Schizosaccharomyces pombe: one gene and its partner. The gene in region 2 interacts genetically with the main gene of each other region. Each region holds a gene or a part of one and is shown on either strand. Other genes may lie near its edges.

Region 1 (4,205 bases), on a different chromosome or scaffold from region 2:
ATGACAGGCAGCGCAAATGCTGCAGTTTTACCACTACCAGTTTGAGCTAGACCTATAACATCTCGTTTATTCAATACAACTGGAATGGCTTCTTGTTGAATCGGAGTTGGAGTTTTAAATCCCAGTTTTTCACAAGCTTCGCATAATTCGTCAATTACTCCTAATTCCTTAAAAGTTTTAGGGGCTTCGTTGTTTTGTGAGTCACCATTATTATTTTCCGAAGATTTTTCAGAGCTTGAATTAGATGTTTCAATCTTTTTATTCAATGAGGAATTTTTTTTATCCTCAGTAAGTTTTTTCTCAGAAGGTGCCATTGTATAAAAACTTTTGCGGACACCAAAAAGAAATAATTAGCAGTTGTTCAAGCACAACAGCTGTAATTTGTAGATTTAATGATCAATGAAAGTTATTTACTAAAACTTCGAAAAAGTAATTAGGAAAGAAAAAATTAGCGAAACCGAGCACCAATTTGGAAACTGGTGGTTTTTTTCAAGCTTGTCGCATTAACTGTTTGTAATTTTTAATGAATACTCTAGGCTTCCTTAAATGTTTTTGCGATGTGAGAATAACATTATCTTAAAGCAGTGTCTTATTAACATTGTAAACATCAAAAAGCTTCATAACAGATGTAAGAAATTAATAAAATTAACTTGTGAAGACATTCGATGTGATTAAAGTATGAAATGTTTTTCAATTCCAAAGAGTTAAACTAAGAGATTTGATACTTCATATTACATCAATAATTTCAATTCTGGAACTTTGGAAATATTGTAAAGAAACAAAAAAATAAAATACCGATACGTAATCAAATAACTTATCATGGAAAAAAAAACTGTTTTTTAAAAAGATGATTTTTACAGTTCTAGCCTAAATTATTTCAACCTGGTTGAGCAATCCTTGTCTTAAAGTCTTTCGGCATAAAGTTGAACAGAAGACCTTTTGGAACCCTTTCTTGAAATTTCTGTTGTAGGTTTAGAGTGATCCCCTTTCATAAAACCAAAAACCTTAATAAAATTTCGTTAGTTGTGATAATCATTTTTTGACAATCAAGATACACTTACCATGTCTGGCGATGAATGTGCTAATCCAAAAATGATCCTTTTGTTATGGGAATTTGAGGTTTCAACTTTAGCAAAGATGATTCCAACTTGCAAATCTGAATATAATGTTGCAGATGGATGTTCTTAACAGTTAGAACAAGTACGGGATACGAACGCACAAGTCAATAAGCTTACCATGAAAGTCATTAATTAATTTATTTAAAGATGATACAACATTATCCTCGGAAACTAAAAGTTGTGAAGAACGACAAGCAAAACAAGTGTTGCTAATATGTTCACCAGTTCCAGAGGTAGCAACAGCACAAGTAGAGGAATGAGACTTATTATCAAAGCTTTCAATCCAAAAACCATGCCCTGGTATCGGAGAAGATCCGATCCTCCCTGCTGGTTTAAGTAATAATCCTCCACTGCTGCTTACAACGGCAATTCTACCATTTTTATCCACGCATATTACGCCAATGGTATCTTGCGAAGAGAGATTGATTGGATTTTGGTAAAGGATTTCTTTCCATTTTATTTGAGTTTTCATAGATCTCTCAGTTATGAGATGTGATTCTGGAACAAGTTTTATGTTACTATGAAGGAGAAGTTTCTCTATTCCGTTCCCAACAAGCATTGCAGGAGGTACCAGTCCATGTTGGCTCATTACCTTTCTTTTGTTTAAAATATATAAACATGCTTCTGAAGGATGCCTACAGCAATTGCAACAAGCAACACTTGCAGTTAAACCACTTTCAGAATCCATGACTCCAGCCTCACACTCAACTTTTCCATCAATGTTTAAATTAGAACCTACACCAGCGTTTGTCACTGGACTATCCTCCATAATTTTTGCTGCCTGAATAGCAGCAGATAAGGCAGATTGGCCAACTTTAAGAGCCTGAATAGCAGCTTTACAAGCACTGAAAGTTAGTTTATTAATAACTTTCAGTAAATACTTACTCAGAACAGGTTTTTTTGGCTTGGATTTCCCGTTGACCACTGTATAAGCCAGCGCCAGCATGTAAAATTACCAAGCCATTAGACATTATTGCAGCAAGTATTTTTGTATGACTAAGATAAGTTCTTAAGATTCCTGTAATATAACCTTTAGCATACTTGTTCAACAACGAGAAGCAGTGTCGTTACGATCCATGTGGTGGAATAGTAAGCGCACCAACGTGTTAGCAGCAAACATTGTATTCGATAACTCAAAGGTTTATATTACGAATTTATAATAATACGTATTTATTCTTTGTACACTGTAAAAGCTAATAATTACAGAACGTTGGAGATGATGCATACTGACCGGCAGAAAGAGTAGCTATTAAAAATCTAATTAAAAGTTTATATTAATACATTAGAATACTTAGGTCAAAATAAAATAGCATTATGTGCTCAAACGAACGGATCAGGTTCATTCATACCAATACTGTTAATTTATGGTACTATAAATTAAACCTTTTTCTCTCTTTTTAAATTATTTAATAACCTTACGGTGAAGTGCCCATTCATAAACAGACCAAGTAATTGTAGATGAAATAGATTTTCGAAGTACACGAAGGAAGAATCCATCAAGGAATCCTCTAAATCCTTCATTGGCATATACAAGTTTTGCAGAATGCAAAAAGTTTTTGTATATATGAGGTTCTAATTGAACACGAGTTTTGAGCATATCAAATGGGTTTGTGATAGCTGTTGCAGTAGCACCTGAAATGAGACCCGACATTACATTGACAATATTGCGATGCGGCACAGTGCCTTGCACCGAAGAGGATGGACTGAATCGATCAAAGAGTTTATGCAAGTTTTGCTTAGAAAGTTCATAAAAATATACGTATAGCCCAGCATGAGGTGCATCTCTTAATGCGGTGACTCCAAATCCTCTAAAAAAACCAGATATACCTTCTTTTTTCCAAATATCCCTAATTGACGAATAAATGGTGGTATAAGAATATAGGTTGCTCTATCAATTGTTGATTAGTAAAATGCTATACTATATGGGAATGATTAGTTTCAATATTTTTCTCATACCTCATAACGAACTTTTATAACCGTAACAGGCATAAATGCAAATCCTACAGCAGCTCTAGCAAATCCTCCCATCCACAAATTCTGTATATGGGAAGACGCAATATTTTTTGATTGAGGAGCAAAATGTCTTAACCAGTTCAAAAAATAAAAATAACAAGATGAACCAGTGGTAGACCTTAAAATTGAGGGCAAAGTACCCTTCCACAGAGAAAATACACCTCCTTCATGAAGGATTATTCGGCGTACCATTTTAGGAAGGGAGTCGCGTTGACTTTGTTGACAACGAGTTTTCAACAAATCCAAAGGCTGCAGAGTTGTACTGGAAATAAATCCACCCAAAGCACCAGCAGCAAGATGTTTACTGCTTTTTACACCCAATTTCTCCGTTTTCTTAATTTCTGACATTTAGGGAAAGGTGTACAGAAAAGTTATGTGTAGTCGACTATGCTTAACAATGCGAAAGAATTCAGGTTTCAGCTAAATCATCTATTTATTTTCTAATCAAAAAAAGATTTAAATAGGAGTTACGTTCAAAACTTTGTTTGCATAGACATGTATTGAGATAACATACGGCAGTAGCAAAATGGGAAGGTTGGAAGTATCGCTATAACCGTTCTCGCGTACATCATAATCTGGATGGTGAAAAAAATTCAGAACAATCATTGTTAAAAGGTAGAGCGATTTTTAAATTCTTAGTCTTGCTTTAGTAATTATTGTATTCGCTACATATTTATAGTGCAATTGCTGAAGCCATTACTGCAGAAGGTAATGCGTTGGATTAATTGAAGATGATTCGATCAGCAATGGATGCTTAAGTTCATAATTCATTGCACTATATCAGAAGTTCACATGATTATTGAAATTACATTGACATTACTTTGGAACGTGTATAACAAAATTTCCTATCTCTTCTAGTTTACATTGGAAACGCGATAAACTGCCTGCTCTATTTTACACTTTCATCATTCTCTATTAACAAATAAAGTATCATATTTAGTACGAAATGAAATACAAACTTGAGAATTTTAGGCAACAAATACCTCTTAATACCTAATTACACGGCGCCTTACTTGAAATAGATTAAAGAAGAAAAATATAATGATTTTATTTATTGAAATAACACGAAAATGC
Region 2 (5,044 bases):
ATACCCATGGTATTAAATCTTTTACTTTGATCTACTTTATGTTTTATTTTCTAACAAAGTTTCACAGTCACTGCACCATTTAAGCCTTCCAAAAATGACCCAGGCGTTTTGATTGACAAATATGGCACAGAGATTTGTTTTTACTCAGATATAACTGGAATTTTACAAGAGCTAAGGAACCAAAAAGTTACTTTGTGCGTTGCTAGCCGTACTTGTGCTCCCAAGTATGCGAAACAAGCATTGAATTTGATGAAGGTACCAATAGATGGAAGTCTTAAGCCGGCTATCGAATTTTTCACTTATGTAAAAGCTTGGCCAGGTATGTCTTTTAATACATTTTTGTCAATACAGAAAATATCAATAATCATATTGCTAACTAGTTATTGTGAAATAGGTAGTAAAATGGATCACTTCAAAGAGATCCACAACGAATCTGGAATTGACTATCGAGAAATGGTGTTTTTTGATGATGAGTCTAGGAACAGAGAGGTTGAAAGACTTGGTGTTACATTCTGTTTAGTTCCTGATGGCCTTAATCGTGCGTCCTTTGAGCAAGGTATAAACAAGTGGAGAAAATTAAAAAAAACTCACTAAATATTCTTTCATTTCTAAAAAATCATATGCATGGTTAATTTTTCTTTTGAAAGAAAAGTTAATCAATTTTGCTTGCATCTTAAGAAAACAACTATCGTGCTTTAACTTATATTTAGAAGTCTCTATTCGAATTGAGATGTATTTTGTTTAATCACAGTATCATTGTTAAAATTGGGAAACACTGATACTACTTTTAATGGGTGAAGAATCAAATTTAGAAATTAAATCTATTAAAGACCTAAATTGCTTCAATCTGTAATATGGGGTTTCTTATGAACTTTCTCTTTTCTTTTTGCAAACTAAGTAAGTATCATATAAATAAATAACAAAAATATATACAAACGGTATAATGTCATATGAGCATAGTTGCAAACCGGTTTAGGAAAACAAAGAACATAACAGAGTAGTTTAATTGATTAATATAATGAATTTTATAAAAATTCTTAAAAAAAATTACATCACTATACACTTACTTTTCTCAAGTAAATATATAATTTTGAAATTATATCTCCATTACATGTTTGTCTAGAAGCATTGCAATATATATAAATCGAAGAAGAAGCAATGTTAAAGTTACAAAGTACGCTCAGTATCCTTTTCAGTCATGTTGCACCAGGCAGCCATTGCGCATTGTTCCGGATATTTCTTTGCTAAAATACTAGAAATACGGCCTAGTGAGGAAAACAGTAAATCAGTACATTCCTCATTAGCATACCTCTTTGACATGTTTTCCATATATGATGTTACGGTATCCAAGTCTTCAGGCCACAAAAAGTTATCATCTTTGCGATAGGATTCCATAGAAGGGTGTGTCAAAAGAAACGATCCGACATGTTCGTTTACGATGTTCATAACTGAACATGCGATTTTGGAAGCGGGAAATTTGAATAAATTAGGTACAAACATTGATGCATCAAGTACTAAGAAAAAAATCGGGTCTAAAACAGGAATATACGAAGCTGGTGTAGGGATTGAGATATCCCAATCAAGAGTATCAAGTATGTGGCGTTCCATACGAATAAATAAATCCTCAGCATAGATGTTTTTACAAGCTAACTTCAGTTCTTGCAATAATGGAACACGGTCTTCTGTTTCATGAAATTTACTGGCAATCCAAAGACAAACACATGCTACTAACTGAATGTGTTTGCAGTATACCACTCTCCTCGAGACATATGAATCCATGAGGGAAATACTAAGCGGAAGAGTATCAATAGACAAGTCGAATCCATTATGTATTTCTACAATAAAATTAACGAGTGCAGGTCGCATTGACCATCTGAGTTCCGGTTGCTGATTAGAAAGATGGACATTCAGCAAAAAATTTTTCTCTCTAGTAATCAGATGATGGATAATGTCTTCCTGGTACTCACCTAAATACCCGTTCATTGATAAACCAGTGAGTAAAGAGGATTGAGTGTTATAAAGTAAGGCGCTAGATTCCGCTGACAATGTGCTAACAGAGTCGACAACAAATGCAGTCTCATTTTTAAGAGAGGGAGATTTGGAATTAACGCCTTTTGGTGAAACAGCTAAAGAGCAAGGGCCCACTGATAGAGAATATGAACAGGCAGCTAATATTTTAGGTTCTATACTTGAAGATGAAGTGGGAGTATGAGCAGTAAGTTGTTCCTCATTGGAAGAAACTAACATACTGGGTAGACAGGTATTTGAAAATAATGAGAAGGAAAGAGTAGAAAAGCTCTTCACAGTCGATGAAGTTGCAGCTCAAAGTTCAGTGAATTATTAAAAAAATGATACTGAAGAAAAAATAATTGGACATAAACAGGCTCAGATTGCTTGTTAAGAGGTAGTGGTCAAAGCGAATAGTGTTTAACTAACTGAAAGCGATACAACGGCGGAAAATTAAGGGACGATTTAAAAAGGAAGAAAAAAAAAGAGTGAGGTGACGATTAAAAAAAAGGGAAAAATTACTGGGTTTTCAAGGACGCTAAAGAGATATCAATAATGGAAGGGGTAATATAAAGGAATCGAAAGAGTAAATTGCAAAGGACTTGTAAAAAGCCAAGACGAAAGAACCCAATAATATATAGTGAAAAAAGGCTATATAAATATTAAAAGAATGCAAAATGAAGCGGAAGAAATTAGATGCGATAAATATATGTTTCCAAAAAGGTTCGGTGAATAGTTATTTAGTTTGATTAACGGATTTCAGAAGCAGACAATGCATTCATACTAATGAAAATATTACAAAGAAACACAAGGTTAATTCCAAAAAGAAAAAAAAAATAAAAAAAAATAAAAGGAAGAGAAAGATATTTAGTAAAATATGTCCATATGCAGCAAAAATAAGGAAATAAATTTCAATTAAACCAAACGATGTATTGCAAAAGAAAAACAAAATTTGGTTACGCTGTTCAAACTTTCGAATTCATTTACAGTGCAGTCAATTTAATTTACCGCAACCTTGATAGGACAGAAATTATAAAAGAACACCAAAAGCTGGAGAAAAGTAAGTGGTACAGACTCTTTTAAAGAAAACAATTCAGTTCCGTCAGCTACTATTTTATAAAAAATGATAAACGGATACGACTAAGAGATCGAATTTGTGAACGATTCGTACCAAGCAATAAATAAAGTTGTCGCTTGTATACCAAAAGCAATTATGGTGTGGTAAGAAAAGAGAATGTAACAAAAAACAAGGCGGAACTGGTAAAGAGATAAATTATGGAAGGTTATAAACGGTGGGCAATCGATATCTTTATAAGGATAAATCTTATAGTGTAGTGACAATATCGCGAATCGGTATCCTTACATTGTGAATGTACAATGTCCATTCTAACTCGTAATTTCTGCAACGTAACTAGCTACTGTTAGTAACAACAACCGGAATTTTCGGATTTGAATTAATTAAGCCTCAAGTGATCTCCATCTTGGTATGGCCGATTCACAAATTTACCATACCAACGATGTGTACTGAAAGCGTAAAGTACTAACACACAATTAATTCAATGGGTCAAGCACATCATGTAAGTGACGACGTAGCCCAAAACTATTCCATTCATAGCACGCCATCTATCAAAGAACTTGAACAAAGAAACTAGTACAAAATTTTGATTTTCAAAAGCGGTTAATTGATAAGTTACTTGCTGTAAATCATATTGGCCAAATCGTGAAATGTACGTACTGCTAACATTGCGCACGCAAGTAAGAAAAAGTGGGGACAAGAAGCAGAGGTAAATCAATTATTCAAGAATGTAAATATTGACCCGTTCGATCATCTACAGCTTTTTTTTTATGAAAATCACGTTATTAACAAAATGGCTGGTGCAATCCAGCTATAACTACAGCTAGATAGATTAACATTAATAATATCGATTTTCTTCACAATAGCATATACCGCAATCTTTATTTTACATAGCAGAAGGAAATAAGCAGCCCAATTACTGTGTGTAAATGTTTATCACTTAGTATATGGATTAAACAAATTGTAAATAATAGTCAAGACTTAAGTCAGTTAATTTCCGATGAAATAATTAATTTTTGAGGAGAATGTGGGGAATGAACATGAATAACTAGCATGGATAAATAGATTCGCAATCAGTGACATAACGATATTTATGAGCCGTCTAGTTTCACAGATAATTCCACCTGGTGGTGCGGATAAAAGTAGGATAGAAAATAACAGAACCAAAACGTTGAAAAACGCATTGCTTGGCTTAAAGGTCATAACATTATTCTATTCAATGGAAAAAAATGTTTGGTAGTTGAACGAGATTGCTTCTCAACGCAATGTTTTATTTTCACTACGAAATGTTCTCATGCTTCTAATCTATGACTTCTACTTTACATGCTGTTGATTCAGGTGGTGTTTTTGTACCAAAGTGGGGGGTCTAAGTCGTTAGTACTATTGTCCTTCTTCTGGTTAGTACTGACAGTTTGTATTACATTTTAAGTGGGATCGTAGTAACTAAATGGGGGTACATAAAACTGGTACTACTAAACAGATTTATCTAAGTTGTGAACAAATTTCAATAAACAAACGAATGTATAATCTCATCGGCAAGAAAATAATTTTTTACGTCAATCACTTATTTCACTTCTTTATTTTATTTTGAATATATCAAATGTAATCAAGTTTAGAAACGTAGACGGGTTCATGTATGAGCTTTCTTCGTTTCATTTGCATATATATCCTTTGTAAGATTCTGTTACTTTGAATATGTTTTCTTTATAAGTTGTAGATGGTAATTGCTACTCTTTAAATACAAGCTGTCTTCTACAATAATTTTAATTTTACCAGAGTATTTTTAATTATCCTCATGCGAGTAATTTTCTAATTATGTGGTGTAACAAAAATAGCGTTCGGTTAAATTTTAGTTCGCCGTGTTAAGTCTATTAATCAAAAAATTTGGGTTCGTAAAATTGTACGCCTATCTGCCTAGAATCAAGTGAAACCATATTACAGGCATAATGCTCCAATCGATAA

What was found.
Region 1: mutations in puc1 (region 2) and SPOM_SPAC823.09C together harm fitness less than expected from each alone (positive genetic interaction), as found in Schizosaccharomyces pombe (one large-scale study listed by BioGRID).

What each region holds. Positions count from the first base shown.
Region 1 is NC_003424.3:2,593,731-2,597,935, forward strand, and holds SPOM_SPAC823.09C (threonine aspartase), read right to left. Parts: upstream 2,216-4,205; 5' UTR 2,090-2,215; coding exon 2,004-2,089; exon of another isoform or gene 1,964-2,003; coding exon 1,236-1,963; exon of another isoform or gene 1,184-1,235; coding exon 1,062-1,183; exon of another isoform or gene 1,005-1,061; coding exon 903-1,004; 3' UTR 815-902; downstream 1-814. Other genes in the region: ATP-dependent RNA helicase Rrp3, read right to left, coding at 1-314; glycine transporter Hem25, read right to left, coding at 2,521-3,006, 3,075-3,479.
Region 2 is NC_003423.3:3,698,406-3,703,449, forward strand, and holds puc1 (G1 cyclin Puc1), read right to left. Parts: upstream 3,285-5,044; 5' UTR 2,248-3,284; coding exon 1,168-2,247; 3' UTR 793-1,167; downstream 1-792. Other genes in the region: SPOM_SPBP8B7.31 (acid phosphatase), read left to right, coding at 1-9, 68-319, 395-514, 568-632.